Linked DNA regions of Neurospora crassa OR74A. The protein of the gene in region 5 purifies or fractionates together with the protein of the main gene of each other region. This does not show direct contact. Links are inferred from orthologs where the notes say so. Each region holds a gene or a part of one and is shown on either strand. Other genes may lie near its edges.

Evidence for each region.
Region 1: the proteins of NCU06272 (region 5) and NCU01502 purify together in Saccharomyces cerevisiae (affinity purification with mass spectrometry; 4 studies listed by BioGRID). This does not show direct contact. The link is inferred for Neurospora crassa OR74A from reciprocal best matches to the Saccharomyces cerevisiae genes RRP5 and UTP7.
Region 2: the proteins of NCU06272 (region 5) and NCU01675 purify together in Saccharomyces cerevisiae (affinity purification with mass spectrometry; 3 studies listed by BioGRID). This does not show direct contact. The link is inferred for Neurospora crassa OR74A from reciprocal best matches to the Saccharomyces cerevisiae genes RRP5 and RRP12.
Region 3: the proteins of NCU06272 (region 5) and NCU07393 purify together in Saccharomyces cerevisiae (affinity purification with mass spectrometry; 3 studies listed by BioGRID). This does not show direct contact. The link is inferred for Neurospora crassa OR74A from reciprocal best matches to the Saccharomyces cerevisiae genes RRP5 and NOP14.
Region 4: the proteins of NCU06272 (region 5) and NCU03764 purify together in Saccharomyces cerevisiae (affinity purification with mass spectrometry; 3 studies listed by BioGRID). This does not show direct contact. The link is inferred for Neurospora crassa OR74A from reciprocal best matches to the Saccharomyces cerevisiae genes RRP5 and YTM1.
Region 6: the proteins of NCU06272 (region 5) and NCU06409 purify together in Saccharomyces cerevisiae (affinity purification with mass spectrometry; 3 studies listed by BioGRID). This does not show direct contact. The link is inferred for Neurospora crassa OR74A from reciprocal best matches to the Saccharomyces cerevisiae genes RRP5 and KRI1.
Region 7: the proteins of NCU06272 (region 5) and NCU07058 purify together in Saccharomyces cerevisiae (affinity purification with mass spectrometry; 3 studies listed by BioGRID). This does not show direct contact. The link is inferred for Neurospora crassa OR74A from reciprocal best matches to the Saccharomyces cerevisiae genes RRP5 and UTP14.

The regions. Positions count from the first base shown.
Region 1 is NC_026502.1:3,252,841-3,256,714, forward strand, and holds NCU01502 (small nucleolar ribonucleoprotein complex subunit), read left to right. Parts: upstream 1-1,290; 5' UTR 1,291-1,440; coding exon 1,441-1,749; intron 1,750-1,814; coding exon 1,815-3,170; 3' UTR 3,171-3,360; downstream 3,361-3,874. Other genes in the region: NCU01503 (pre-rRNA processing protein Tsr1), read right to left, coding at 1-654, 822-930; NCU01501 (mitochondrial peptidyl-tRNA hydrolase Pth2), read right to left, coding at 3,548-3,873. UniProt on the Saccharomyces cerevisiae protein: Involved in nucleolar processing of pre-18S ribosomal RNA.
Region 2 is NC_026502.1:2,739,546-2,743,752, reverse strand, and holds the start of NCU01675 (90S preribosome component RRP12), read left to right. Parts: upstream 1-1,322; 5' UTR 1,323-1,418; coding exon 1,419-1,490; intron 1,491-1,632; coding exon 1,633-4,207. Other genes in the region: NCU01674 (alpha-soluble NSF attachment protein), read left to right, coding at 1-22, 111-417, 491-905. UniProt on the Saccharomyces cerevisiae protein: In association with GSP1, required for nuclear export of both pre-40S and pre-60S ribosomal subunits. Required for the late maturation of the 18S and 5.8S rRNA of the pre-40S ribosomes and for maturation of the 25S and 5.8S rRNA of the pre-60S ribosomes.
Region 3 is NC_026501.1:6,090,467-6,092,978, forward strand, and holds the end of NCU07393 (rRNA maturation protein), read left to right. Parts: coding exon 1-185; 3' UTR 186-1,932; downstream 1,933-2,512. UniProt on the Saccharomyces cerevisiae protein: Involved in nucleolar processing of pre-18S ribosomal RNA. Has a role in the nuclear export of 40S pre-ribosomal subunit to the cytoplasm.
Region 4 is NC_026505.1:2,340,051-2,343,789, forward strand, and holds NCU03764 (microtubule associated protein), read left to right. Parts: upstream 1-1,385; 5' UTR 1,386-1,579; coding exon 1,580-3,043; 3' UTR 3,044-3,158; downstream 3,159-3,739. Other genes in the region: NCU03763 (DNA polymerase delta subunit 2), read right to left, coding at 1-571, 627-936, 1,002-1,051; NCU03765 (3'-5' exonuclease/helicase), read right to left, coding at 3,417-3,739. UniProt on the Saccharomyces cerevisiae protein: Component of the NOP7 complex, which is required for maturation of the 25S and 5.8S ribosomal RNAs and formation of the 60S ribosome.
Region 5 is NC_026503.1:2,145,202-2,149,606, forward strand, and holds the start of NCU06272 (mito ribosomal protein S16), read left to right. Parts: upstream 1-1,605; 5' UTR 1,606-1,767; coding exon 1,768-2,226; intron 2,227-2,284; coding exon 2,285-4,405. Other genes in the region: NCU06271 (hypothetical protein), read right to left, coding at 1-277, 352-639.
Region 6 is NC_026503.1:1,301,249-1,305,405, forward strand, and holds NCU06409 (ribosome biogenesis protein Kri1), read right to left. Parts: upstream 2,810-4,157; 5' UTR 2,701-2,809; coding exon 529-2,700; 3' UTR 333-528; downstream 1-332. Other genes in the region: NCU06410 (GTP-binding protein YPT52), read left to right, coding at 3,376-3,450, 3,519-3,582, 3,643-4,157. UniProt on the Saccharomyces cerevisiae protein: Required for 40S ribosome biogenesis. Involved in nucleolar processing of pre-18S ribosomal RNA.
Region 7 is NC_026506.1:332,062-336,113, forward strand, and holds the start of NCU07058 (small nucleolar ribonucleoprotein complex subunit Utp14), read right to left. Parts: upstream 2,872-4,052; 5' UTR 2,615-2,871; coding exon 47-2,614; intron 1-46. Other genes in the region: NCU07057 (hypothetical protein), read left to right, coding at 3,323-3,511, 3,652-3,774. UniProt on the Saccharomyces cerevisiae protein: Involved in nucleolar processing of pre-18S ribosomal RNA.

The DNA.
Region 1 (3,874 bases), on a different chromosome or scaffold from region 5:
AACTCCTCTCGTCTCTCCAGCGAATGCCCTTGGGTGTAGTGCTGCATAGCGAGCGCATGAGGTTGGAGCATTCCTGTCTGTTGTCGAGGCTGAAGACCTTATCCTGTTCGGGGTGGAAGTGGGTGATGTAGGACTTGAGAGACGAAAGAACGGAGAGTCTCTGCTTTTGGGGCTCGATCTTGTTGAGGCCCTGGACGACGGTGAAGAGGGTAGAGAGACCCTGGCTTTCAACGCTGCGCAAGATCAGCTCGCCAAGTTCATCGACCTCTTCCTGCGCGGACAAAACGAGAACGACATAGTCGGCGACTCTGGCAGCGTCCAGGCAGGCGGTAAGGTCGCGCTTGAGGGGGAAGTATTGAAGCTTCTGCTTGAATCTGTCGACGGGAACGCGGAATGCGCCCTCGGGCACCTCGGTCTCGATATCAATGCTGGCGTTCAGGCTCTTGATGGCTTCGGTAGCGTCACCGTCGCTGCACAGGGGGATAACGGCCACGTTTCTGGGGGCACCATCCTTGCCGGCGAAAATGGAGGTCTCCTGGAGATGTTCCTTGTGTTTTTGCAGCTGAAGCTGCTTGTTACGGTTGCGACGGTCGAACTTGGACATGACTTGTTGATGGGGGGTCTTGCGCACACCTCTCTCCTCGGCTACCTTGCCTATAGAATGTTGAAAGTATTAGCGCTGTGTGGACGTTGTCGACCTCTTTATATGCAGCTGTATATTCATGTCTGCTTGGGCTTGGTGCGCCAAAGTTGGGTGAAGTAGAGCATAGTCCAAGGCAACAACCTTGGCATGAGGCACGGCTGTTATATGCAATCCGTACCTTTGGCAGCATTCCGGAGAGCACCCTTGGTAGAATGGCGTGACTTGAAGGGCTTGTTCGACGCCTTGGTCGTCGGCCGATGCGAGTGGCCGCTCACGGCGCCGGGCATATTGCTGGAATCGCCGCCTGCTTTGAACCGAAAAGGGAGCGAGTTTGACGCCAGGATGTTGGACCTGGGGAGGCGATGAAGAGAAGAGGCTGGGGGGTTGGGACTGAAAAGAGATTTCGAGAACCTCTCTGGTCACAATCCGTCTATCGAGTATCGAATAAAGTGATGGGGACAATGTCAATGGCGGGGCACTCGTTGCATTTTTTTGAGTTGTGCGAACATGGGCGGCCGTCTCGCTACTTATCTTATCGGACTCTTGTACGCAGTGGAGCCAATGATCGCTGCGGAACAGCTGCCCCATCCAACTTTTTAGTGGGTCCGGCCCCAAAAAAGTTGTCGAGGAAAGGAAACATTCAAAGTGCCAAAGCGAGGGACAGACACGGGCACACCGAGAAACCGCCAGACCAATTCCATATTCAGCCCCCATCCATATCCCGTCGCCGATCCAACTGTCCTAGTCCACCACACATATTACCCATTCCCATTGTGTCGCGTCGACCCATTGGCACCATGGAGACTACAGACAGGGCCGAAATCTCCCTCTCGAGGGCAGAGCAGCCCAGCGGCGCCGTTGCCATCAACAACGTCCGAAGCGAGTTCCGATCAAAGGCCGAGGCCAACAAGATCCGCAAAGTCAAGGCAGCAGAGAAGTCGTACGGCCGTGGTCGCAAGATCGATGTCAAGAACGTCAAGGACAAAAAGCTCAAGCGCAACCTTACCAACCTCGAAGAAAAGTACCAGACGGCCACGCTAAAGGCCAAGGAGGCCGAAATCCTTCTCGAGAATGCCGGCGGTTTCCTCGAGGCTGAACATGAGCTTGTGAGTAGCCATGGCTTGGGAGTTTATAGCCTCTTGCGCGATACTAACCGCGCTGGTCACGATAGGAACGCACATACAAGGTTCGCCAGGAGGACATCGTCAGCGAAGTCAACATTGAGGTCGCCCAGAAAAAGTTCGACTTGAAGCTCGACCAACTAGGCCCTTACATTTGCGATTTTTCGAGGAATGGCCGGGATCTGATTCTGGCAGGACGAAAGGGCCATGTCGCTACGATGGACTGGAGAGACGGCAAGCTGGGCTGTGAGTTGCAGTTGGGAGAGACCATCAGGGACGTCAAGTGGCTACACAACAACCAATACTTTGCCGTCGCTCAGAAGAAGTACACCTACATCTACGACTCGCAGGGCGTCGAGCTCCACTGCCTAAGGAAACACGTCGAAGTCTCCCACCTCGAATTCCTCCCCTACCACTTCCTGCTGGCCACCCTGGGCACAAACGGCCAGCTCAAGTACCAGGACACATCGACCGGTCAGATCGTCACCGAAATCGCAACGAAGCTGGGCACACCCGTTTCCATGACACAAAACCCCTGGAACGCTATCCTCCATGTTGGTCACCAGAACGGCACAGTAACGCTATGGTCGCCCAACTCGTCAGAACCTCTGGTCAAGCTCCTTGCCCACCGTGGTCCCGTACGATCCATGGCTGTCGACCGCGAAGGCCGCTACATGGTGACAACAGGACAGGACTGCAAGATGGCCGTTTGGGATATCCGCATGTTCAAGGAGGTCAACAACTACTTTACCCGGGCGCCCGCTTCGTCCGTCGCCATCTCAGATACCGGCCTTACCGCTGTCGGCTGGGGCACCAGGACAACGGTCTGGAAGGGTCTCTTCTCGAAGGAGAAGCCGGTACAAGAAAAGGTCCAGTCTCCCTACATGACGTGGGGCGGTGAGGGCAAGCGCGTCGAGCGGGTGCGGTGGTGCCCCTTTGACGATGTTCTCGGTGTCGGCCACAGCGAAGGGTTCTCGTCCCTCATCATCCCCGGCGCCGGCGAGGCCAACTTCGACGCCTTGGAAGTCAACCCGTACGAGACCAAGAAGCAGAGACAGGAGGGCGAAGTCAAGCAGCTGCTCAACAAGCTCGCGCCCGAGATGATTGCGCTCGACCCCAACTTTATCGGCACCCTCGATTTGCGGTCGGCGAAGCAGCGGGAGGCGGACAAGGATCTGGACGCCGGGCCGCCGGATCTGGAGGAGGAGATGCGCAACCGGGCCAGAGGCAAGAACAGCGCGCTCAAGAAGTACCTGCGGAAGCAGAAGAAGAAGAACATTATCGACGAGAAGCGGCTCAAGGCCGAGGAGATGTACAAGCAGATGCAGGAGAAGAACGGGGAGAGGCACAAGGAGAAGGTGGCCGAGCTGGGGCCTACGCTGGCCAGGTTTGCGAGGAAAGAGTAGAGCATGAAAATTGGTGGGAGGGGTGGAAGAACAGAGTACATGATGATACCCAGAATCAGTCACTTAATGAAACCAAAGACGGTCAGTCGACCGGATGCTGTGCTGATACTATATTTGTTTACTTGATATGCTTACGTGTATGTGGAGACTCATCTTGTTGCTTGATAATCTATTCAAAAGTAAAAATCAAGACCTACGCCTTACATGCATCAAAGTCTTTACCTGACTGTATCGCTCTCTAAGCCCAATGATACTTTTATACCGTCCCCGTTACGCCATTTTTCGTGCTTCTCGTCCTTCTCTTTGTATCTACGTTCATGCTACCGTCAACATAACACACTTTCTCCATCCTCTCCCCGCTACAAAGTCTTCCCCCTTTACAGCAACTTCAAGTGACCAGTGATCTCATCAACCAAGCTCTTAGGCGCCGGACCAACGCCCAGCACGGTCCTGGACCCAGAGGCAATCTGCGTACGGCCAGCATCCTGAATCACCTCAGCAGTGACGCCCAAGCTGCGCGCCTTGGCCATCAGCTCCAGCATCTCATCCTCGGTCTTGGTTTGCACGGCGATCTTGGCCTGGCCGTTGCGCTCCCACTGACGGAGCAGGCGGGCCGACAGCGACAGGGGCTCGAGCTGGGCGGCAGAGAAAAGGCGCTTGTAGCAGGCGAGGGTGGCGTGGGAGCATTGAGCTGCGATTTTGCC
Region 2 (4,207 bases), on a different chromosome or scaffold from region 5:
GCTTTCAGGTTGCAGAAGTCAAGTACGTCATCACAATCATCAACACCCACGATGCGCTTTCGGGCCATATGAACCTCGCGGCAAGTCCTAACGTTCTGCCCACTACCCAGACACCGAGGCCGGCAAGTGTTTCGAGGAAGCTGCCAAGATCTTCACTGAGAAGTTGAAGGAGCCCAACGATGCGGCGAATGCCATGTTGGACGCCTTCAAGGTCTATAGGAAAGATGCCCCGGATAATGCTGTGCGCTGCGTCGAGGTTGCCATCAAGCAGTATACCATGGCGGGGAACTTCCGGAGAGCTGCGTCGCACAAGGAGAACCAGGCTGAGGTCTACGAAAACGAGCTGCAGAATAAGCCAGAGGCTATCAAGGCCTATACAACTGCGGCCGAGTGGTATGAGAACGACGGTGCTGTCGCGTAAGTGATTAATGCCCACGGCTTTTGCGCCATGTTACGAGTCCAACAGGTCGTTCTAACCAGCTGTGTGTAGTCTTGCGAACAAGCTGTGGCTCAAGGTGGCCGACCTCTCTGCCCTCGCGGGCGACTTTTTCGCCGCTATAGAGAAGTTCGAGAAGGTTGCGGAGGCTTCACTCGGCAACAACCTGATGAGGTACTCGGTCAAGGAGTACTTCCTCAAGGCCGGTCTCTGCTCCTTGGCGACCAAGGATATGGTCACTGCTCAGCGTAACATCACCAAGTATGCCGAGAAGGACCCATCATTTACGGGCCAGCGCGAATACCAACTCCTGGTTGACTTGTTGGAAGCAGCCTCAAACAACAACCTCGAGATGTTCCAGGATAAGCTTGCCGCGTACGATAAGATGAGCCGGCTCGATGACTGGAAGGCGGCTGTTCTTCTCCAGATCAAGAACAACTTTGAGGAGGCAGACAACGAGTTTTCATAAACAGGGTGGAGGAACTTGTGATATACAGCCATTTATCACTTTCTGGTTTCCTTCTTTCCTTTTTCTTTTCTTTGTTATCGTACCGGCGTTTTCTGGTTGGGAGGGGGATGAACTGTCATATCATGAATACGGTCATCGACGCTTTGGTGATTTACGGAAGACCCAAACAAACCTGCTGTCTGGGGTAGAGATGGGCTTAAAGCAATAGAAACTTGTTCCTAGTGGGTACGCGTTGTTCGTACGATCCAACATGAATTGTTGTATCTCATAACCTTGATGGCTGCCCAAGCGAAACATAGGTACCTCTATAAGCATGAGATGCCATAGCTAACCCTGGAGTTACAGTTGGGAGCCGCTTCGGACTAGCGCCAGACCCTTATCAATGACAGCGGGTGGGGCGTGCGCGCCGATAAGCGACAACTTTTCGAACTTTTCTGTTCTTCATGACATCGATTTCAGCACTGCGAAGCGGCTTGCATTGTCCCACTCCAGCGCCATTCCATCACATTCACGATGGCTTCTTCTCCGTCTTTGCAGGAGAAACTGGACAAGATTCGGTCTCCGAATCTCCAGAGCCAGAAGCAGGTAAGCCAGAGTCATGATGCATCTCTCCTTTTTCCATCTTTTGTCTTCTGCATCCCTACCCTCTTCCTTCCAGCCTGCCATTGCAGTGGCCTGTCGCAAGGCCGCCTCCATCGTGGACAATGGACCCTGACTTGAGCCACAGACTGCCAGTGTCCTCGAGGCTATCGAGGCCACCTTCAAGGAGCGCAATACACCCGCGACTCCTACCGCCTACTTCGCTGCCCTTCTCAGTCTACTCAACAACGAAAACCTCGCGACCCCCGTCGTCTACCTCCTCGATGTCGTCACTCCCTTCGCTCCAAAGCCTATTCTTCAGGCCAAGTTCACTCAGATCATCACCATCCTCGCGCCAGTACTATCCCTCCCCGATGCCGATGCTCCCCTCATGAGGGCCTCGATCGGCTCTCTCGAGAGCTTGCTCCTTGCTCAAGATGCGACACAGTGGGAGCTCGGTACCGCCCAGATTGGCCCCCGCCGGGCTGTGGCCGGCCTCCTCGCCCTTGCCCTCGACCCGCGTCCCAAAGTCCGCAAGAGAGCCCAGGAAGCGCTCAGGAACATCCTGAAGAACCCTCCGCCGAGCCCGTCTCTCGACCACCCCGCCGCCCCCATGTGCGCCGAGACAGCCATGCAGAGCCTCCGTCTTGTCGCTGACAAGGCCGCCGCCCAGAGGAAGGAAAAGAAGACTACCGACTCTACCCACGATCCCGAGCTTATCCACGCCTTGCAACTCGTCAAGGCTGTCGCCTCTGGAAGCGGTGGCTGGCCCAGCAAGAGCATTGAGTCTTTGTGCGAGCTCCTTCTCAGCATTGCCCGGACGGGCAACGAGCACATGAGCATGGCTGTCTTCGAGATCTTCGAGATGATGTTCGAGGGCATGGCCGCCGACGAGGTTGCCTCCGCCAAGCTTCCTCGGCTGCTCGAGATCATCAGAGAGCTCCGTCCCGCGCCCAACGATACCCAGCTTCTCCCTCCCTGGATCGCCATTCTGTCGAGAGCCTACGATGTTGCCGGTCAGATTTCGCCCGCCGAGACCTTCCAAGAGCTGGTCGATCCTTTCACTCTGGTTGCAGGATACCTCGAGTCCCAGCACAAGAATATTCGCGTTTCGGCGTCCGAGTGCTTGGTCTCCTTCCTGGCCAACTGTGTCCCCAAGGAGGCCATCCTTGAGCCTTCGATTTTTGACGAGAAGGTCATTCAGCAACTAGTCAAGGTTGTCGAGGGCCTTCTCACCGTCCAGTACCAAGCTGCCTGGATGGAGACTTTCAACGTTCTTGGTGCCATGTTCGATGCCTTTCGGTGGCAGGCTAACCCTTACCTCCTTTCCGTCGTCAAGAGCATCGGCGAAATCCGCGGTAACGATTCTTTCGCTGGAAAGCAGGAAGCCGACGAGGTCCTTGGCAAGGCGATTCGTGCAATGGGTCCTGAGGCGGTCTTGAATGTTCTTCCCCTGAACCTCGCGAAGCCCGTCAAGGGTCAGCCTGGCAGAGCTTGGATGCTTCCTCTTCTCCGTGACTACACCTCCAACACCAATCTTGCACACTTCAAGAGCGAATTGGTTCCTCTCAGTGCTATCATGTTCCAGCGTGTGATTGAGCACCAGGGCGAGAAGAACATTCACATCAAGATTTTCGAGACTGTTGTTCAGCAAATTTGGTCGATTCTTCCCGGCTACTGCGACCTTCCACTTGATCTTGTCGAGGCCTTTGACACAGGCTTCGCTGAGATGTTGACCAACCTTTTGTATGAGCAGGTTGACCTGCGCTTGGATATTTGTCGCGCCCTCAGGACCGTTGTTGAGTCCAACCAGGCCATCGCCACTTCCGATGAGGTCGATGACCTCATTCTCTTTGGCAGGGTCAGCAAGGAGCAGGCGCAGAAGAACTTGGAGTACCTCGGAGCCACCTTTGCAGCTGATTTCCTCGCTGTTCTCTTCAACGTCTACAGCACCACTCTCCCCCAGAAGCGCGGCCCTGTCCTCCAGACCATCAACGCCTACCTCAGCATCATCCCTCCCGCGCGTCTTACCGAGACTTTCGACATGGTGTGCGAGAAGCTCGCCGAGGCTCTTCAAGAGGCTGTTGAGAAGAAGCCCCAACAACAGCAGAAGGCCGATCACATGCCTTCTGCCGCGCACACTCTCATGGACCTGGTCGTTACCATGTCTATCTACCTCCCCCGTGCCAGCTTCGAGGCTCTTTTTAAGATCGCTTCAGTGGTCATCTTCAAGGATGATGACCCTCAGCTGCAGAAGAAGGCTTACAAGCTCATTCCTCGCTTGGCGGATTCCCCCATCGGCAAGGCCGCCCTCGAGGAGAGACATGGCGAGCTCCAAACCCTGTTCCTGTCCAGCTCTGAGAAGGTGTCGGCACCTGCCCGGAGAGAGCGCCTGGCTGCCATTGCTGCTCTGATTCACTTCATCCCCAACGATTCCCTGCACTTCATTCCCTCCATTCTTTCAGAGGTTGTCATTGGCTGCAAGGAGCACAACGAGAAGGCTCGCACTACCGCCTTCGACCTTCTGGTTCTCCTTGGCCAGAAGATGGTTTCTGCTCAGGGCTCTTTGATCGATAACAGCAAGGTCCCTCACATGCCCGCGGATGCTCCTGCGGCTACCGCCTCTATTGAGGAGTTCTTCACCATGGTCAGTGCCGGTTTGGCTGGCAGTACCCCCCACATGATTTCGGCCTCTATCACTGCCATTACCCGCGTTCTTTATG
Region 3 (2,512 bases), on a different chromosome or scaffold from region 5:
TCAGGGAGCTCCGCAAGGACGCGGCCTTCATGCAGCGCGAGAACCTCAAGGTCAAGAAGGCCAAGGACGAGGCGTACGAGAAGAAGTACAAGCGCTTGGTGGCGGAGATCCAGGGATCGGAAGGCCAGGCGGCGAACGAGTACGCAAGGGAGAAGGCGGCGAGGCTCAAGAAGAACAAGAGGTAAATGGCTACTTCTTAGAAGGTTCGGGGGTAGCAGTCGGAGTAAGTTTGTGGTTGGCCGTGTTGTTGTTAGTGCCGTTGTTGTTGCTGTCATGTATACATCATCATCAGCGTTCAGTGCAAGTGCAATATTTGGATCATGGGTTGGAGATACCATGTCTATCATATCATCTACTAGTAGGAGTTTTAAGATCATTTCATCATTTGCCAACCCTCAGTACGTACATTATCTACTCCTGATGTTGTTTACATGTGATGTTTACCCAACCCACCAATTTCATCATGGTACTCATCCCTACCTGGAACTTTCAACACTTCAACGAAACTATGTAATTCCGGTTATCGCTATTGATGGCGGAGCCTCATCTGAAGAAAAAGAAAAGAAAAAGCAAACAACAAATAACAAGAAAATGACTGAAGACAAGGAAACACAGCAGTATGGAGTTGCCCTTCGGTCGGCGTGTCCGTCCCGCGGCTATAATTCAAACAATGCCGTTCTTCAATCACTTCCCCCCCTCGTGCCACCCATACTGTACCTCCAGCGCTGGCCCAACGACTAACTACATAGTTAGTTACGACTTACGAACAATATATAAGCGACCTAAACAACTAACAACCGCCGCACGTTATCGTATAACAATATCACTGGACCCCGAAAACCCCTAACCAGCGAAATCGGCGAGAAAGTATTTCCCAGGTACTCAGGTCCCGGGCGGATGCTTGATCAGTATGTATTTTGCCCAGTCTGAACTTTGTAAACTTTCAAAGACAATCCACATCTCTTTGTGGTGGTTTCTAGACGCTATAGGCGCCGTAGACGATGGTGTTGTGTTCATCGGGGAAGTCGGGCACTCTACGACTCTTTTCATTCTTCTCTCTTTCCTTTGCTACATTCTCAATAGCACGCGCCTTTTCTTCTGAGGGGAAGAGGCAAAGAGAATCATAAGCTGATGACCTAGATTCCGCTCCAGTTGGTAGTTGGGTCGATCGGTTGGTTCCGAGTAAGATCAAGATTCCCGTCCCGTCGTCTATGAGGGTCCCCGTGTCTCCCCAGCTCCAGGTTTCCGGCGGCCGCAAAATGAGCCTCACGCACCTCTCAGTTGATCGAAGGCTGGAAGAATGGATGTCAAGGCGACATGTGTCATTGCGATCTTGACATCGATCGCATCTTTGAAGCCATGGATGACTATCGGTGATCCCGCTGTTCAGGACCGATGATTTCGGCTTGCTGTTTCAGTTGGCTGCCTCTAACTATCACCACGATCATGTGTCAAAGCTCGAAGAAGGAGGTGAAGTAATGAAAACAAAAGAAAAACAAGAAAAAAAATCCCATAACACATCAAAAAGCCAATTCGACTCCGTTCCAGCCTAGGCGCCCTCACAGATACGGCCCCCAAAAAGACAGATATGTCTGGTCCACTCCAACTGTATTCTCATACACAGCCTCTTCAAGCGCGCGCTTAGAGGCGCATGTGGATATGATCACCCCAGAGGCCTCCTGATGAGGCTCTTCCTCGGCAGTCACTCACATGATACTTTGTCAAAACGATGTATTCTTTCCTACTAGAAATCCCATCAGGGTTCACTTTTCGGCTCCCTTTTCCGAGAGCATAGTAGGTCTCAAAAGCGGGTCGCCGGGCTGTGGAAGATTGAGGCTGTGTGCAGTGTTGTTTTGACGTGGTGAGTTTACTAGTTACCTAGTGGGTTTCGAAACATCTAAACGTGCCCATTTCCGCGTATCAACAAAAATCGCCCCCACATCATTGACCGAAATGTTTGGGCAAAGGGGAGGGGACTGGGTGGAAACGGAAGTGGCCAAAGAAAGACAATGTGGCCATGAGATCCTAACGAGTTGGAAGCCATTCACGATCCGAAAACGACGAGTGGTCAAGGCTGAGCCAGAAACACAAAAAACTCCACGATATTTTTCCACAATGAGGTAGATGGACAGATATGGGTGGAAATCATGCCTTCTGCGACCTGTTGAGCTGAACAGTTAATGACATGTCGTTCCAGCCTCACCTCACGTTCATGCTATCAGACATTGTCAACTCTCTTGTTGACCGAATAGACAGACGGCTGCTGCTACTGCTGCTGCGCCTCTACATATATCCAACCAAGCTGGGATCGACCAGCTTAACCAATCCCTGGCTTGCAGTCAACGGCGAAGCCATTAGCGGCAGAGTGAGGCGCGGATACTCAACGGGAGTCGGGAACCGTACCACTAGTAGGGCGATTGCCGGGCGAATTATGACCGCCACCATGCTTCTCCTACCGTGCGGCGGCGTGCAACCTCTTATAATCCAGTTCAACAAAACCTCACTGTCCTTG
Region 4 (3,739 bases), on a different chromosome or scaffold from region 5:
TTTGTGGTTGGAACTTGTTTGTTACGGTGGTGGTGTCGAAGGCAGCCGCGGGTTTGGCCTGTTCGGCCGCCGTCGTGGAGATGGAGTTCCCCGCTATGATGAGGCGGGTGATGTGTGAGAGCTCGTCGCGTTGGACGGAGGGATCGAGCGCTTCGCCGAGGAGATACTCGAGAAGCAGGTTGAGTTCCATGGCGTAGGAGGTGTCGGCGTTGGAGAACTCGAGGCCGGAGACGAGGGCAATCTTTTTAGAGGAGGGCTTGTGGGACTGCCTGGAGAAAGAGGCGTCCATCATTTCGACGTCTTCGGAGGAGTCTGCTTCCTTTTTGCCTTTTGAGAGCGACCAGCGCTCGGGCTGTGGTGGTAGTTCGGCGAAGAGGAGGTCGATGACTTCGAATTCGCCGTTGGCGTTCTCGGTGCCCATTACCGCGACGATGCAGCCGGTCACCATGAAGTGGTTTTGCAGAGCGTTGCCGACAAGACGGATGCGGCCGGAGTCGTCTTCGAGCATTACCGAGTCTTCGCCGTTGCCGGAGTAGTAGTGGCCGACCGAGGTGGGAGCGGAGATCCAGCGCTATAACATCATTGTCAGCTGCCTGGTGTCCACCAAAGGATAGGCTGAAACTCACATCCTTGGAGACATCCTCGAGGATTGAGGGCTTTAGAGGCATGTCCATATATACTGTTCCAGCTACCCAGCATAGTTCTCCCTGGCGAACGTCTAGGACACGCTCGACCCTCTTGACCTTCTCACCACCAAGCACTGTTCCCTCCCAAGCGGCGCTGGCGGCTGCCTCGACGGCGGGCCTGATCTTTGTAAGACGCAAAAAGTAAATATCGGCATATTGTTGTTGATAGGGACGGGTTTTTTCGAGTTTGAAGGTATGAAGGGGCTTGTAGTTGGTGATCTGGCGCTGGAGAGCCTCGGGCGCATCGCCTCTTCGTGAAGTTGGGTTGTTAGCTGATGATCGCCAGTGGAAGATGGATGATCCACTGCTACTCACGAGGGCTTCTGTAGCAAACCGCTACCGAGAACTTCGTCCAAGGTGACCATCGTATGATTGATACTGACAATGGCTCAAGATGTGAGAACGACAAAAGCAATTGGTGACTTATTCATGTGCTGCCCGACTCGGAAACTGACTTCAAGGGACGAAACTCGACGACGCGCTTGACAATTTCGAGACGCGTAGCTCCAGTGGGTTCAATTAAGCCAGGTACATGACCGGTACTACTCTATACTAGTATAGTTTACATAGTAGCGGCGCTTCAGCACTGTGACCCTCACAGGAACCGTCGGCCCCGCTATAAAGTTCCGATAAGATAGGGGAACGTGGGGTAGCTAGAACACTCCAGACCCCTGCGCTGCAAGGCTGGACAGAAAAAATTGGATGGAGTCTTGGATTTGGCATGGCCTTGTGGTGTCCGCTGCAAAGTAAACATCCACACTCTCCTCCCGACGACGCCTGTTTCACGGTAATCTAAGCCAATCTGACTTTTACTTGTCAATTGATAGTATTCAGCCTGCCCATACCGAACAGCGACTACCCAATTCACATAATATCACAGCACAGGCACCGCCATGGACCACCCTACCGAATCAGGCGCCCAGGTCCGGGTGACCTTCACCACCCAGGAGGAGGACATCCAGCTCGATGAGAGCAAGCGCCAGCTCCTTGTCCCCGCCGACATCCGCCGTTATGGCCTCTCCCGTATTCTCAACTCCGAGTCCATGCTCGACACCAACTCGATCCCCTTCGACTTCCTTGTTAACGGCAGCTTCCTCCGCGGCAGTCTTGAAGAGTACCTCAACGCCAACGGCCTCTCGCTCGAAACCAACATCACCCTTCAGTACGTTCGCAGTTTGATCCCACCAACATACGAGGCCAGCTTTGAGCACGACGACTGGGTCAGCGCCGTCGATGTTCTTTCCGCTACTTCTCCCGCGGGCCGCTGGTCCGGCGACAACTTTCAGCGCGGCCAAGATCGCATCCTCTCCGCCTCGTACGACGGTCTCCTCAGGATATGGGACGCCTCTGGAAATGTGATTGGCACCTCGCCCTCGGGCAGCCACGGTGGTCACACTGCCAGCATAAAAGCTGCCAAATTCCTCTCCAGCACTCAGATTGCCTCGGCCGGCATGGACCGCACAGTTCGCGTATGGAAGTACACCGAGTCGGGCGAGTCGTACGAGCGTCGCGGCGAGCTGAAGCCCACTCTCGAACTGTACGGCCACACCTCCTCGATCGACTCGCTCGAGGTTGACGGCGCCTCGAAGCGCATCCTCACTGCCTCCGCCGACGGTTCCATCGGTTTCTGGACCACCTCCAAGGCGTCCGCGCCCGAAGTCTCCGATTCCTCGCTCCTTCCCGGCGCCCACACATCCAAGCGCCGCAAGCTCGCGACCTCCGTCACCGCCGCCCAGCGCGGCCCGCTCGCCCTTATGAACATCCACAATGCGCCCGCCACGGCCGCCGTCTTCGACCCCCGCGACCGCACCGTTGCCTACTCTGTGTCGCAGGACCATACCGTCAAGACCATCGACCTGACCACCTCCAGCGTGGTCAGCACCTTCACAACCTCGCATGCGCTCCTCTCTCTCGCTGCCCTGCCGCGCTCCTCGGCCTCGGCGCCCCTTCTCGCCTGCGGCACCTCCGCCCGACACATTACCCTCGTCGACCCGCGCACCAGCACGGCCGCGACGAGCGTCATGACGCTGCGTGGGCATGCCAACAAGGTGGTCAGTCTGGCGGCGAACCCGGAGAACGAGTACTCACTGGTTTCGGGCTCGCACGACGGGACGTGCCGGATCTGGGATTTGCGGTCGGTCCGGCCAGCGACCAAGGACGAGGGCGGCATGGGCAGCGTCAGCGAGCCCGTGTACGTTATTGATCGCGAGAGCCAGCAGGGCAAGAAGAAGAAGAGCAGTGTGACGGGCGACGGGTGCAAGGTGTTCAGCGTGGTGTGGGATCAGCTGGGCATCTTCAGCGGTGGTGAGGATAAGAAGGTGCAGATTAATAAGGGGAGGGGTGTGAATGCCGAGTAGAGGAAGAAAAATGGTCGGGAAAGAGGGGGTTGTTGATGAAGAGAAGGGAAGCAGCAGAACTTGGTTGTTATGATATACCCAGGATAGATAAAATGGAATGTGAATACTGTACAGGATATTTTTGTGATATCTGCAGGGACGAGGCCAAGAACAGCCGTGACAGATTCTTTCTGAACTAAACTGTACGCGAAAACTGTACTGACCTGGAGCATAGACTAGATGGCTTCTGCAGAGCCCAGTCAGGTTGTTCTGAGGATTATACAAGGTTCATCTACCAACGTCTAAAAGTAGCCAAGTCGGTCTCGGGGTATAGGTGCATCGTCGACATCTTTCCTTTCTTGTTCAGCACTCGACCAGCAGCTTGAGAGCCGGCTCAGTGACTTCTCGACATCTTCCTCAACCTCTCCACCTCTTCCTCATCAACCGTCGCTTGACTGCTGCTATTGCCCAGCGTCAACTCCTCATCAAAGTCCAAATCCCCAGCCTCCAACGCAGCCTTCATCACATCCTCCACGCTCTCTTCCTTCGGCTTTACCTCCACCTCTGCCTGTGTCTCATCTACCTCCTCACCCTCAACCTCCTCTACCTCACCTTCCTGCTCCTGCTCCTGCCCAAAAATCTCATCCAACAACTCCAACTCACTCTTCCCCTTCACCCCCTCCCCATCCATCACCCCCGTCCCATTCACCCCACGCG
Region 5 (4,405 bases):
CAACGTTATCGTCCACTGCCGGCCCCGGCTTTGGTACCTCACCGCCTGTGGATCCCCTATCATCAAGGTTCTCGGATGGTAACATGTTTGGAAGAGACGAAGATGAAGCTGCACCATCGAGACTGACACTATCCGTGCTTCTTTCTGTGTCAAAACGGCTAAAGTCTGCTCGCTTTTTTGATCTGAGTGTTCCGCCCATGATTGTTTCACGGGCGACTTGTGTCGAGGGTGTCGATTTGCGTGGCCATGAGCCATACCAACTCCGAGATTTCTGGGGCTGCGAGTCTGTTAGCATCGGGTGTAACAGGCATTAAACAGGCTGGATATGGTGGCTGAAGAGAAATAGGCTACCTCTTTCAGCCCTCGCTTGCTCGAAATAGGAGTTGTATTTGCGGTCGCATTGGGCTGGGATGTTGATAGAGCATTATCAGGTGTCGAGGTCGTCGTCGACGAAGGTGGGTTCGAAGCGGTCGGCATTGGAACGGCTTTTGAACGCCATATAGAGGCTGCTAGGCTCGAGGACGATTTCGGCGGCATATCGGATGTGGACGTTGAGGACTCGGTGACAGCACTACCATCCGCCGGCTCGGTTGGAGGGTTTGGTTTCGCCTTTTTTCGACGACCCATGGTGAAGACCATGGCGAGCAAGGCCAACAACCTAACAGATTCCAGTCCCCTAAGATTATAGGGCAAACTTTGGCCACATTGCCGTTTATTTCGTCAAGTTGAAAGGATCGAAAATGGGCATGCGACGAGTATTGCGTGGCGCCTATACCGTAGGGACAAGTCGACAAGCCGACGAGGCACCGCTCAGGCTACAAATCCGATGTGTACTTCTACTTACACTACACGGGTACCGCCGGCGGGGAGGGAGCGCTTTCATCCATTATCAAAGGCTCCAGCTCGGATGCATGTACGTCATTTGCCAGGTAGCGCACAGTCCAGGGGAACCGGATAGGTAACGAAGTACCTACACTTTATTACCTGGAGAGGGGGACCATGTGAACGAATGCTGATGTTATTACAAGTACCTACTTGATGGTCTAGTGTAGTATCAAATTCATTCTTCCATCAGACTAGAATGATATTCCAATACCGTACGATCCTAACATCAGACGACATGTTAAGTGTAGGTAGGTACCTCTAGACAATTGTACATCCCGCCTTGGAGAATTATATGTACCTCGCAATGGCCAATAGGTAACTCATTGATAGCACGTTCTCAGCAATCCCCTCTATCTCTAGGGTGTAGGTACCTAACGGCCTTCAGTACCCTACCTCTACTTACCGTGTACTTCCCTGCAACGCATGCGGCTGGCCCGTTGGCTGCCCGTCTCCGCCCGTGCAAAAGGTTCGGTACGTACCTGGCCATGAACGTGACAGCGTCCTGTCAGCTGACGCCGTGGCACTCGTGGACACAAGACAGGCGCTGCTAGTACCCCTACAGGGGAACCCCGCAAGACTCAGAACCCGCAACGAACCGACATGCACGCGGCCCGCGTACCTAGAGATGGCAGAATCGTAGCCGATGCTCACCGCATTCCTTATCGTTATCTGGCCACGGTGAACGGCGACGGACCCACCAAAAATTTTCGGCAGCGGACAGTGGAAGCGGCCTGGGTCAGTTTTTGTCAGTGCTTGTCGATTCATTCTGAAGTGTGAAGGCGGGCAAAGGGACGAGGGATCCAGTGCGGGTATCTCTCCAATTGCAACTCCAAACACATCCGTCCATCCATCAGGTCCTTTCTTTATACCCATCAGTTCACAATGGGTGCGCAAAAGCGCAAGGAAGGCCCGGGCGGCGCCCCAGTCAACAAATCAACACAATCAGCCTCCGAATCGAGACCGTCAAAGAGACCAAAGTCCAACGATGCCGGCAGCAAGGCGGGCGCAAAGACGGGCAAGCAGGGCAACAAGCCGGCTCCCAAGTCCGACAAGCCTGCTCCTCCTGCTCCTACCGCCCCGGCTACATCTACGCTGCTCAAGGAAGAGGAGCCAATGTTCCCCAGAGGCGGCGCCAGCATCCTGACACCTCTCGAATACAAGCAAATCCAAGTCCAGGCCAAGAACGACGCCCTGTTCGAGGAGCAATCCAGCAAGGCCACCGCCAAGAAGGCTGGTGAGAAGGAGGGCAAGCAGAAGAAGTCCAAGAAGAGGTCAAAGTCCGACGACACACCCGCGAAGCCCGATGCGGACGCCGTCAAGGTTGAAAGTCTCAACTTCAAGGTATGCGCCGGAACACTCATGGGTTCAGTCCTATCATCCAAGTACTAACTGTCCGCAGCGTCTGGTAAAGGGCTCCTTGGTCCTTGGTTCCGTCTGCGCCATCAACTCTCTCGACATCGCCGTTGCTCTACCCAACAATATTATCGGCCATGTCCCCATCACTGCGATTTCCGCCCCCCTAACAAAACGCTTGGAGGCCAGCGCCGGTAACGACAATGCCGAAGAGTCAGAAGACGAGAACGACAACGACGTTGACCTCGAATCCCTCTTCCAGATCGGCCAGTATGTCCGCGCCTACGTTGTATCGACGGTCGACGAGGCTTCTACACACACCCCTGGAAAGGCCAAGCGCCATATCGAACTCTCCCTTCAACCTTCTCTCGCCAACACCGGTATGGCGGAGCAAGACGTTGTTGTGAACAGCACAGTTATGGCCGCCATTGCCAGTGTGGAGGACCACGGTTATGTTATGGACATCGAGATCGCCGATTCGAAGTTGCAAGGTTTCCTTGCTCGCAAGCAGGTCGACAAGAGCATCCCCCAGGAGGCTCTGCAGCCAGGTGCCGTCCTCCTCTGTATCGTCACCAAGAACGCCAAGGGCAAGGTCGTTCAGTTGTCCACATTGGGTGAAACCATGGGCAACGTCGAGAACGTCCCTTCGACTGCTACCACCATCGACACATTCCTCCCCGGTACTGCCGCCGACGTGCTCGTGTCCGAGGTTTCCAGCCACGGAATTGTTGGCAAGATTATGGGATCGCTGGATGTCACCGCTGATCTGGTTCACTCTGGCGCTGGTCCGGATGGCATCGATCTTGAAGACACATACAAGGTCGGCTCTCGTCTGAAGGCCAGAGTCATCTGCAACTTCCCTACTGCAAAGCACCCCAAGCTGGGTATCTCTGTACTAAAACACGTTACCTCGTTGAAGCCAAAGACTGCTTCCAAGGACGACCAACCAGTGGTGCCATTGCAGGCTCTCCCTCACTCGACGATCGTGGAGAAGTGCACCGTTAAGCAGGTCGAGCCTGAGATCGGTCTTTACGTCGATGTTGGTGTCGAGGGCGTGTCTGGGTTTGTGCACATCTCCCGCGTCAAGGATGGCAAGGTTGATGCCCTCTTCGAGAACAGCGGACCCTATAAGGTGGGATCTGTTCACGCTGGTAGGGTTGTCGGCTACAACGCCTTTGATGGCATGTATCTCATTTCCTTGGAGAAGAGTGTTCTTGAGCAGCCATTCCTTCGCATCGAGGACATTCCTGTCGGTGCAGTTGTTTCTGGTGTGGTTGAAAAGATGGTGGTCAACGCCGCCGGTGTTGGTGGCCTTATTGTCAAGATTGCTGACGGTATCTCTGGCTTGGTCCCCGAGATGCACTTCGCTGACGTTCACCTTCAGAACCCCGAGAAGAAGTTCAGGGAAGGCCTGAAGGTGAAGGCGCGTGTGCTCTCGACTGACGCTGCCTCTCGCCAGATCCGCCTTACTCTCAAGAAGACGCTCGTCAATTCCGATCTTCCTGCCATCCAATCGTATGAGCAAATTGCTGTTGGCCAACAGGCGCTCGGTACCATCATCAACGTCTTGCAGCACGGTGCGATTGTGCAGTTCTACGGCAGGCTCCGTGGTTTCTTGCCAGTTTCTGAGATGAGCGAGGCCTACATTCAGGATCCCAAGGAGCACTTCCGCGTTGGCCAGACTGTCAGCATCTACGTCATCAGCTTCGACCCCGATGCCGCCAAGCTTATTGTTTCTTGCAAGGACCCATCTGCCTTTGGTCTTGAGAAGCAGTTGGCCCTCAAGAAGCTTCAGATCGGTGATGTGGTGTCGGCTAAGGTCACGCAGAAAACTGACGACGATGTTTTTGTTGAGCTTGCCGATAGCTCTCTCAAGGCCATCCTCCCCGTCGCTCACTTGACGGACAAGTCGGTCAGCAAGACTCAGTCTGCCCTCAAGAAAATTCACGTCAACCAGACTCTTGCCGAGTTGGTGATCTTGGAAAAGAACGAGGCTCGCCGTTCCATCATTCTCTCCCAGAAGCCCAGCCTTGTCAAGGCTAGCAAGGAAGGCAAGTTCCTTACTACCCTTGATGGTGCTCGCGTCGGAGATGAGGTTTCTGGTTATATTCGCAACATCACTGCTACGGCTGTCTTCGTCCAGTTCGGTGGCAAGTTGACCGCCTTG
Region 6 (4,157 bases), about 840 kb from region 5:
GTTTGACTTCCTGATTATTCTGCCAAAGTGGCCAACAATATGAGAAGAGGCTGGAGTTGGTTGTAGTGGCCAACAGAGTAACAACTGGAAGACAGGGCCAGATGTTAGGAAGGTCGAAAGTGCACAAGAAAGAGAAAAAAAAAAAAAAAAAGAGGATAGAAGAGAGGAAAGGGTGGCGATGACGGATTTTAGTAACAGGACGGGCGCTCCGCCTCCGGGGGGAAGGGGAGAGGGGGGAGAAGGGGAGTGTCTCTTCTCTTCAGGAAAGCATGAAGACAACTTGAACACCATCTGAGTGTCATGCAGAGTAACTGAGTAGGTAGCGAAGACGACGATGAACTCCGAGATGAGAGGAAGCATCGAGGATTGGTATAGCTAATTCTAACTTTGTATGATTTCTCCGTAACACCGCGATGCAATACGCCTTCTAAAATAGACTAAACGATACAAAACCCTAAACAGAACAAACAAACGTGACCGCCACTGCTTGTCCAACTATACTGACAACCGAAGTGGCAACGAAGCACTCTAGGCCTCAGCCTTCTCACTGTCCTTCTTGTTCTTGCTTCTCTTCCTCTTCTTTTTCCTCTCTCCCTCGATGATATTATCCGCTCCCCGTTCACCAGCAGCAATCTCCTTCTTCTCCTCCTTCTTCTCTTCCTTCTTCTCCTCTTTCTTCTTCTCGCCACTCTTCTTGTCCTTGTTCTCACCCCTCTTCTTATGCTTAATCGCACCCTCATCCTTCTTGCCAAGGGGCGTACCATCCTCGTCCAGCGCCTCGAACCCAAAGGTAGGACCAGTCGCTTCGAACTCCTTGCCAAACGTCTCGCGACGCCACTGCCTGAGACGGGCCTTCTTGCCAAGCTTCTTGCGTTCCTTGCGCTTCTTCTCGGCGTCGCGGAAAGTAGCCAGCTTCTTGAGGCCGGCGAACTCGTTGAGCGCGGCGTCCGAGGGCGCCAACAAGATATCGCGCGCCGTCATGCCGAACGAGACGGGCGAAGTCTCGCGGTAGCGGAACGGGAACAGGTTCTCCTTGTACTTCTTGTCCTTGGGGGCGGAAAGCGCGCGAGGAGTGTCGAGTTCCATCTTGGTGTCGACCAAAGCTTCAAGCTTGGCTAGTTCCGCCTTGGCTGCCCGCTTGGCGGCTTGCTTCTCCTTCTTGATGTCGGCGGTGGTCTTGCGCTTCTTGGAGGGACGGCCTTCATCTTCATCGGCGGAGAGGTCGGAGCCGAGGTCGGCGTCCTCGTCTTCGGCTTTTTGGTCGTCGCCGTTGGGCTTGGGGAGGTCTAGATCGGAAAGGACAACATCGGGAGCGTCGTCGAAGTCGGGGATGATGTCCTTGATGTCGATATCGTCGTCCCACTCGGGCTTCTTGGGCAGCTTCTTCTTCTTCTTCTTGGATTTGCCGTCCTCGTTGTCCTCGTCGTCCTCCTCGTCGCTGCCGGACACGTCGCCTTCTCCCTCGGCGTAGTACTCCTCGCCAAACTGCTTGCGCATCTCCTCTTCCCACCGGTCGTTGTCCCAGGCGTCCTCGAGGAACTTCATCCACTCCTCGTCGGACAGCTCCTTGCCGGTGAGACCGGCAGCCTTCTTGATCTTGGATAGCTTCTCGGCCGCCTCGTCAATCTTGAGACGGCGCAGACGAGCACGCTCCTCCTCGCGCTGCTTCTTCTCGGCCTCCTTGCGCTCCTTCTCGAGCTGTCTCTGCTTCTTTCTGCCCGTGAGCTCCTCCTTTCTGACGGACTTGGCGTTGGCCAGGTTACGCGAGTACGTCTTGAGCAACTCGTTGCTCTTGTTGGGGTCCTCGAACCGCATGTTGTAGGCGTGCTCGAACTCCTCGGCCATCTCGGGGAAGTTGTCCTCACCCTCGTCCGACTCGAAAGCCTCCCAGCGCGAGCCGTCGGCGGGCGCCCAGGCCTTGGACTGCATGAATTTGGAAAGGAACTCCTCGGGGTTCTTGTCAGCGTTCTTGACGTCGAGCTCGTTAAGATCGATCGCCTTGGCGCGCGACGGGTGAACGCCGTTCTCGGTAGGCGCCTCCTCCTTCTTGACGGGCTTGATGAAGGCGTCGTCGTCGCTCCACTCCTCGTCTTCGCCGACAGCGGCATTGATCTCAGACAGAATGTTCTGCTTCAGGTTGGCTTGTTCCTCGGCATAGGTCTTGGGCTTGGGCGCGTCATCTTCGTCGGCACCGATGTCACCGGCCATGTACCTCTCGCGGTGGTAGTCGCGCAGGGTCATGGGCTTCTCCTTCTTCTCCTTGACGGGCTGGCCGTCGGCGTCAATTGGCGTGTAGAAAACGGCCTCCTTGTCGTAGATGCGGGGGTCCCTCTTCTTGATAGCTTCTAGAGTGGCGTTGATTTCGGCGTCGAGGTCCTCGGTGACAAGGAAGCCCTCATCGTCTTCGGTCTCGTCTTCGGAAGAGTCCTCTTCGTCCTCGTCTTCGCCTAGCCCACCTTCCTTCTTGGACTTGAACTTTTCCTCGAGACGGTGGAGTTCCTCGCGCTTCTTGTTGTGTTCAAAACGGCGGGCGTACTCCTCATTGATCTTCAAGTCGGCAGCGGTACCGAGGGTGGCACCGCCGTCCTGCTCGTCTTCGCTGGAGGCATCATCGTCGAACAGACCCTTTCTAGGCACAATGGGATCGGTATTGGCGCCTGTGACTCTGGCTTTCGCCGCTTTTGACTTTGGGCGAGGCATCTTGAGGTGGGCTAGATTTGAAGATGCTAGGGCGAAGGGGTGGAAAGTCAATCCTGGCGCATAAAGGATGGAAGACTTTCGTTGCGACTTTGACGCCCCCAAATTTTCGAAGTGAACTTTTTAGTGGGGACCTTTTCGAAGTCCAGTCCCCGGGCTACAGCTGGCGGTACGTACTTGTAGTCCAATTTGCCTGCCACGAGATTGCGCACGGTTCACAAAGGCATACATATGTGGCTATGAGTCTTGGCATGGAGGGGAAGTTGGAGTCCACTCACAGCGCAAGCGAGGGGGGACATCGAGGACATGCGACGCCTGCCCGTGGCCCGACCGAATGCCTGCTGGATCCCGGCGAGCCTGGCTTTCCGACTGGAAGGGAACTAACTGAATGAACAAGCTCCATCCATCCATTTACTCTCATTGCTGCCGTCTACCTATCACGTCACACCTCACTCCGATTCCCAACCCATCAACGATCCATCTTCAGACATCTTTTGTCTTCCAACAGGCAGCCACCCAACGTCCTCCCTTCCACAACTGCACTGCTCTGTCGCTGTCGCATTATCAAAGATAGCCGTTCTTGCTATTGTCCCTTGCTGTAGTTGCTCGCTGCCGCAAGCCCCGCCGTTTCCACAACCCATCCACCCAGATTTGTAGCAACAATACACTTCAACGACAATGGCCGATACGAACGCGCCCAAGCCGAGCAGCAGCGTCAAGCTGGTGCTTCTAGGTGAAGCTGCTGTCGGAAAGGTGCGCAGTCTTCTGCTCCAAAACCACCATGCTCGAGAAACACATGCCTAACACAAATCGTTCCACAGTCGTCGCTCGTCCTCCGATTCGTCAACAATGACTTTCAAGAGAACAAGGAGCCCACGATAGGAGGTTAGTTCCTGAAGTCATGACGACTTTCTTTGCACCAGTTTAGCTGACACTTTTTTGCAGCCGCCTTCCTAACCCAGAAGTGCAACCTGCCCACGAGGACGATCAAGTTCGAGATTTGGGATACAGCAGGCCAGGAGCGCTTCGCCTCTCTAGCGCCCATGTACTACCGCAACGCCCAAGCCGCCCTTGTCGTTTACGACCTGACGAAACCTACTTCACTCATCAAGGCCAAGCACTGGGTCGCCGAGCTCCAGCGACAAGCGTCTCCCGGCATCGTTATCGCGCTCGTGGGCAACAAGTTGGATCTGACCAGCGACTCGGCCGGCTCTGCCGAGGCTTCCGGAGGTGGCGACGACAATGCGGAGGATTCGGGCGACGCACGCAAGATCTCGACGGACGAGGCCAAGGCATACGCCGAGGAGGAGGGTCTCTTGTTCTTTGAGACTTCGGCCAAGACCGGACATAACGTTACTGAGGTTTTCACAGCCATTGCAAACGCCATCCCCGAGACGTCGTTGAAGAGCGCGCGTGGGCCTGGTGCCTCGCATGCCGGTGTCAGCCGCACAGAAGAGCAG
Region 7 (4,052 bases), on a different chromosome or scaffold from region 5:
AAAAAAAAAGGGGAAAAAAGGGGTAAAAATAAAAGGGGTAACAAACCTTCTTAACCCGTCCCTCCTTGATAATCACCCCCTTGAGCTTGAAATCCTTCCTCTTCTCCTTCTTGACGCCCTCCACCTTGGTGACGAACCGGCCTGTGTGCCTCTTCTTCTCGCGGTTGGAGATGCCCTCGCCTACCCAGCCGCCCCAGCCAGGAAGCGTGTTGTCGATCTCCTTGTCGTCGTCTTCCTTCTCCACTTCGGCCTTTTCGCGGTTAAAGTCGCCTACGACGTCCTCGCCTGCAAAGGCACGCTTGATGAGTTCTTGATCGCGGATGGCGAGGGGGAGATGGATCGTTTCTTCGTCGTCGGAAGAGGAGTCGTCGTGGGTGGTGGTGGCGGGAGCAGAGGACTTCTTGTCCTTGGCTGCTGCGGCGTCCTTGGACTTGGGCTTGGGCTTGGAGGCGAGCATGGCGGCGTTGGAGAGGTCCAACTCGCCGACGGAGACCTTGGCGGCCTTTTTGGTGCTCTTGCGACCTTCTTGGGGAGCCTTGGACCAGGCACCGGCGACGGAGGCGGCGAGGGAAGTGTCCTCGACTTGGGTGGTGGCTGCTTGTTGTGGTGTTACTTGGAGATTGGACATGTCGTTTGTGATGTTCTTCTTCTCCTTCTTCTTCTGAGCAGCCTGCTGGCCGGGGAGTATGATCTCCGTCTTGCCCATACCGAACTGCCTCCGACCGATGTCCGTCTCTTCGACATCGTCAGAGTCGTAGTCGGAATCGAGGTCTCGGCGAATCTGCGCAATCATCTCATCGTTCTCCTTCCTCTTCTGGGCTTCGCCGCGTTGCATGAACTTCATCTGCATCAGCCCCGACTCGACCTCGCCATCCGCGTAGGAAGCAGCGTGCTCGAGCTGTTCCAGCAACCGTTTCTTGTTCTTCTTCTCATCGCCAGACTCGGCAGAGTAATCGTCGGAACCACTGTCTTCAGAATCCTCCTCGCCCTTTCTGCGTCCCTCGATCCGGCGGCGCAGCTCCTCCTTCTGGCGAGCAGCCTCTGTCAACCCAGCGCGGAAGTTGTCGTCCCACACTGCGCGACCGGCCTTCTTGCCGAGCTTGGCCCACTTGCTGTCCCGGTGACGAGTACCGACGCGCTCGAGGGCTCGCCTCCTGTCCAGAGCCTCGCGCTCCTCTTCTGAATCAATCTCTCCCGCCTCAACCATGGCATCATGCATCTCCTGCTCGTCGTGGAGCAGCTCCTTGCGATGAATGCGACGGTACGCCTTGGACTTGATCTTCTTGATGCGCTTCTGGCGGGCCTGCTCGCGCGAGAACAGCTCACGCTCGCGGCGCTTCTGACGGGTGATTTCTTGCATCTCAGCGGCCGAGAGACCCTTGCGAGCGGCAATCTCCTCGACGTTATCCTGGTCCTCCTTCTTGGGCTTGTTAGTGGGTCCCAAGCCGGATTCCTCCATGATGGCCAAGATGGTCTGTTCGAGCTCGGTACCCGCCGTGGCCTTGGTCACGGGAAGGAGTTCTTGACTGTCGAGGCCGGCGTCGTGGGCATTTTGCGCGAGGGGGAAAACCAGGTGATCCGCACGGCGGTTGTGCTTGACTGTGTCGATCCAGCGCTCGAGCGTCTCGGAGGTCTTTTCGTAGGCGGCGGAGCGGAGGAGCTTGTCTTGTTGCCTCTTTGCGAGGGGGATGTCGAGCTTCTTGGATTGCCCAGGCTTGGCGGCCTTTTCCTCCTTGTTCATGAGCTTGAGAGACTTCTTCATGTGGGGGTCCTGGACGCCAAGGAGGCCGAGATCTGAGAGACTGAGTTTGTTTGTTGGTTTCGAGCCTGATTGCTCCTCGTCGTCGTTGTCGTCGCCCGCAAACCCGGAGATCATCTTTTGGAGGTCGTCGAGCTTGGAAGGGTCTTCCATATCGTCGTCACTGTCTTCGCTTTCGCTCGATTCGCTGTCCGCGTCGTCTTCCGATCCTGACTCCTCTTCGCCCTCCTCCTCCTCGCTGCTTTCATACTGATCCAGTGCTGTGGCGAGATCGATGGCGTCGGAACCGAGCGACTCCAAGTCATCGTCCTCATCTTCGTCCTCTTCCTCCTCATCACTGTCGTTTCCACCCTTCTTCGCCTTCTTGCCCTTCTTGTTGGAGCTGCTCCCGCTGAAGGCATAGCCATCGAACTTTTCCTCGTCGCTCTCACCAAAGGCCTCATCAGAGTCGAGTTCGGAATCTTCGTCATCAGCGCCTACACCAACGTGCCACTCCTCGCCATCGCTGTCCTCGCCACCGTCGGAGAAGCCTTCGAAATCGTCGCTGTTTTTGGCCTTCTTCTTTTGTGGCCTGGCGTCCTCGAGATCTTCCTCATCCTCGTCTCCGTCCTCATCGTCTTCGTCGTCGCCATCTCGTTGTCTCTTCTGGGGGCGCTCTTCGGGCTCGTCGAGGTCTCGTGTGCGGACGCCCTTGGCTTTCTTTTGGGGGACTTGTTCGGCGGCAATAGCGAAGGCGTCGAGGACGTTGTTTCTGGATTTCCTATCGGCAGTCTTGTTGTTGACTCTGTGCTTGGGACGCCCTCCGCCGCCCGACTTGGGCATTAGAGGCCTGCCGTGGGCTTGACGGCCGGGCATTTTGCTGGTATTTGAGAATTGACTGATTGGAAGTCGGAAGGTAATTCAGTCAATTAAGTTCGAGGTCGAGCAAGCAAAAATTGGGTGATGAGATTGTCGACGAAGTCCAGTGGTTGGATGGAATGAATCGATGGATGTCAATGTCCAACTTTTGCCTGCACGGGTCCTGGAGGTCGAAGTGGTCAGGTCCCTTCAACGGCAACTCCCACCAAGCCTTCAACTTTCTGCCAGTGAACAAGCTCCCCCGAAACTTTTTCTGCCGCCTCTGTAATCGATAATTTTCGGGCGGTGAGGGCGCAACACCCACCCATTTTGCGGGGCCGCAGCAGGCTACAGGGGTACCTGTTTCTCCCAGCCTCACGTCATTGGCTCAATTGAGCTCCAAACTTCTGAAATGGCTCCACCTCAACCCGGCGCGGCCCCGGACGTCTTTGCGATTTCTCGATTCCAACCCCGTCGCCCGTCGCCCGTTGCCCGTCGCCGTCCGTGTTGTCCAGCGCCAGTCCGAGTCCGAGTCCGAGTCCCGTCTCCGTTCCTGTCGCGTGCGCCGGATCTTCAACACTCTAAAGCGGATCCCGTCTCCGTCCCACTTGCGCCCACCTCAACCACCCTCACCACAGCGAGGTGCTTCCACCACCCAGATCACCGACCACAAAAAGCAATTCTCCGTCGTCGTTGCCCCGCAAAGCGCAATCCTCCTAGCCCACCATGCAGCCCACTCGCATCCTCCAAGGTCTCAAGTACCGCAAGTTGCGCCTGACCACCAAGGACGTCAACAAGGGTTTCTACAAGGGTAACCGCACCGGTTCCATGGGTACGCACACCAGCTACGGTACCTACAAGATCGACTACACCAAGGTCCGCACCTATGTGTGCCCGGACCTGACCGGTTTCAAGGTGGGTGGTCCTCTATTTCCGTCCGGGTTTGGGGTTGGAATGGGATGTGTTGGGGGATCTGGTGCTAGGGGAGGGACCGAGAATGGAGGACAAAAGAGAATAAAAAAGAATTATGCTAACAAGATCCAACAACAACAAAGCTCACCCCCTTCGTCTCCAAGACCATCCGCCCCGTCCACGACCAGTTCCCCGGCGACAAGCTCGGCCCCAAGAACCCCGCCACTTACCTTGCTCGCTGGAAGTCGGAGAACGGTCTCGACTAAACGGTCGTCATTTTTTCAAGGAGGGAGGAGGAGGACATTACGATACCAGACCACGGCGAGGAAATGGAGCGAGGCTCACTCAACTATCAAACTACCAAACGCAATATATACCCAAGTTCTGATTACATTCCGAAAGCCTGCCGACACAGACCCGTTCGAAGGACCACGAGCCACTCTCCACTGTACATTATATGACCTGACCACCAGGAATCAACCACCTAGCAGCTCCACTGTTCTGGGTCATATGTGAAATTGGAACATGTCCAGGTTCTCTGCCT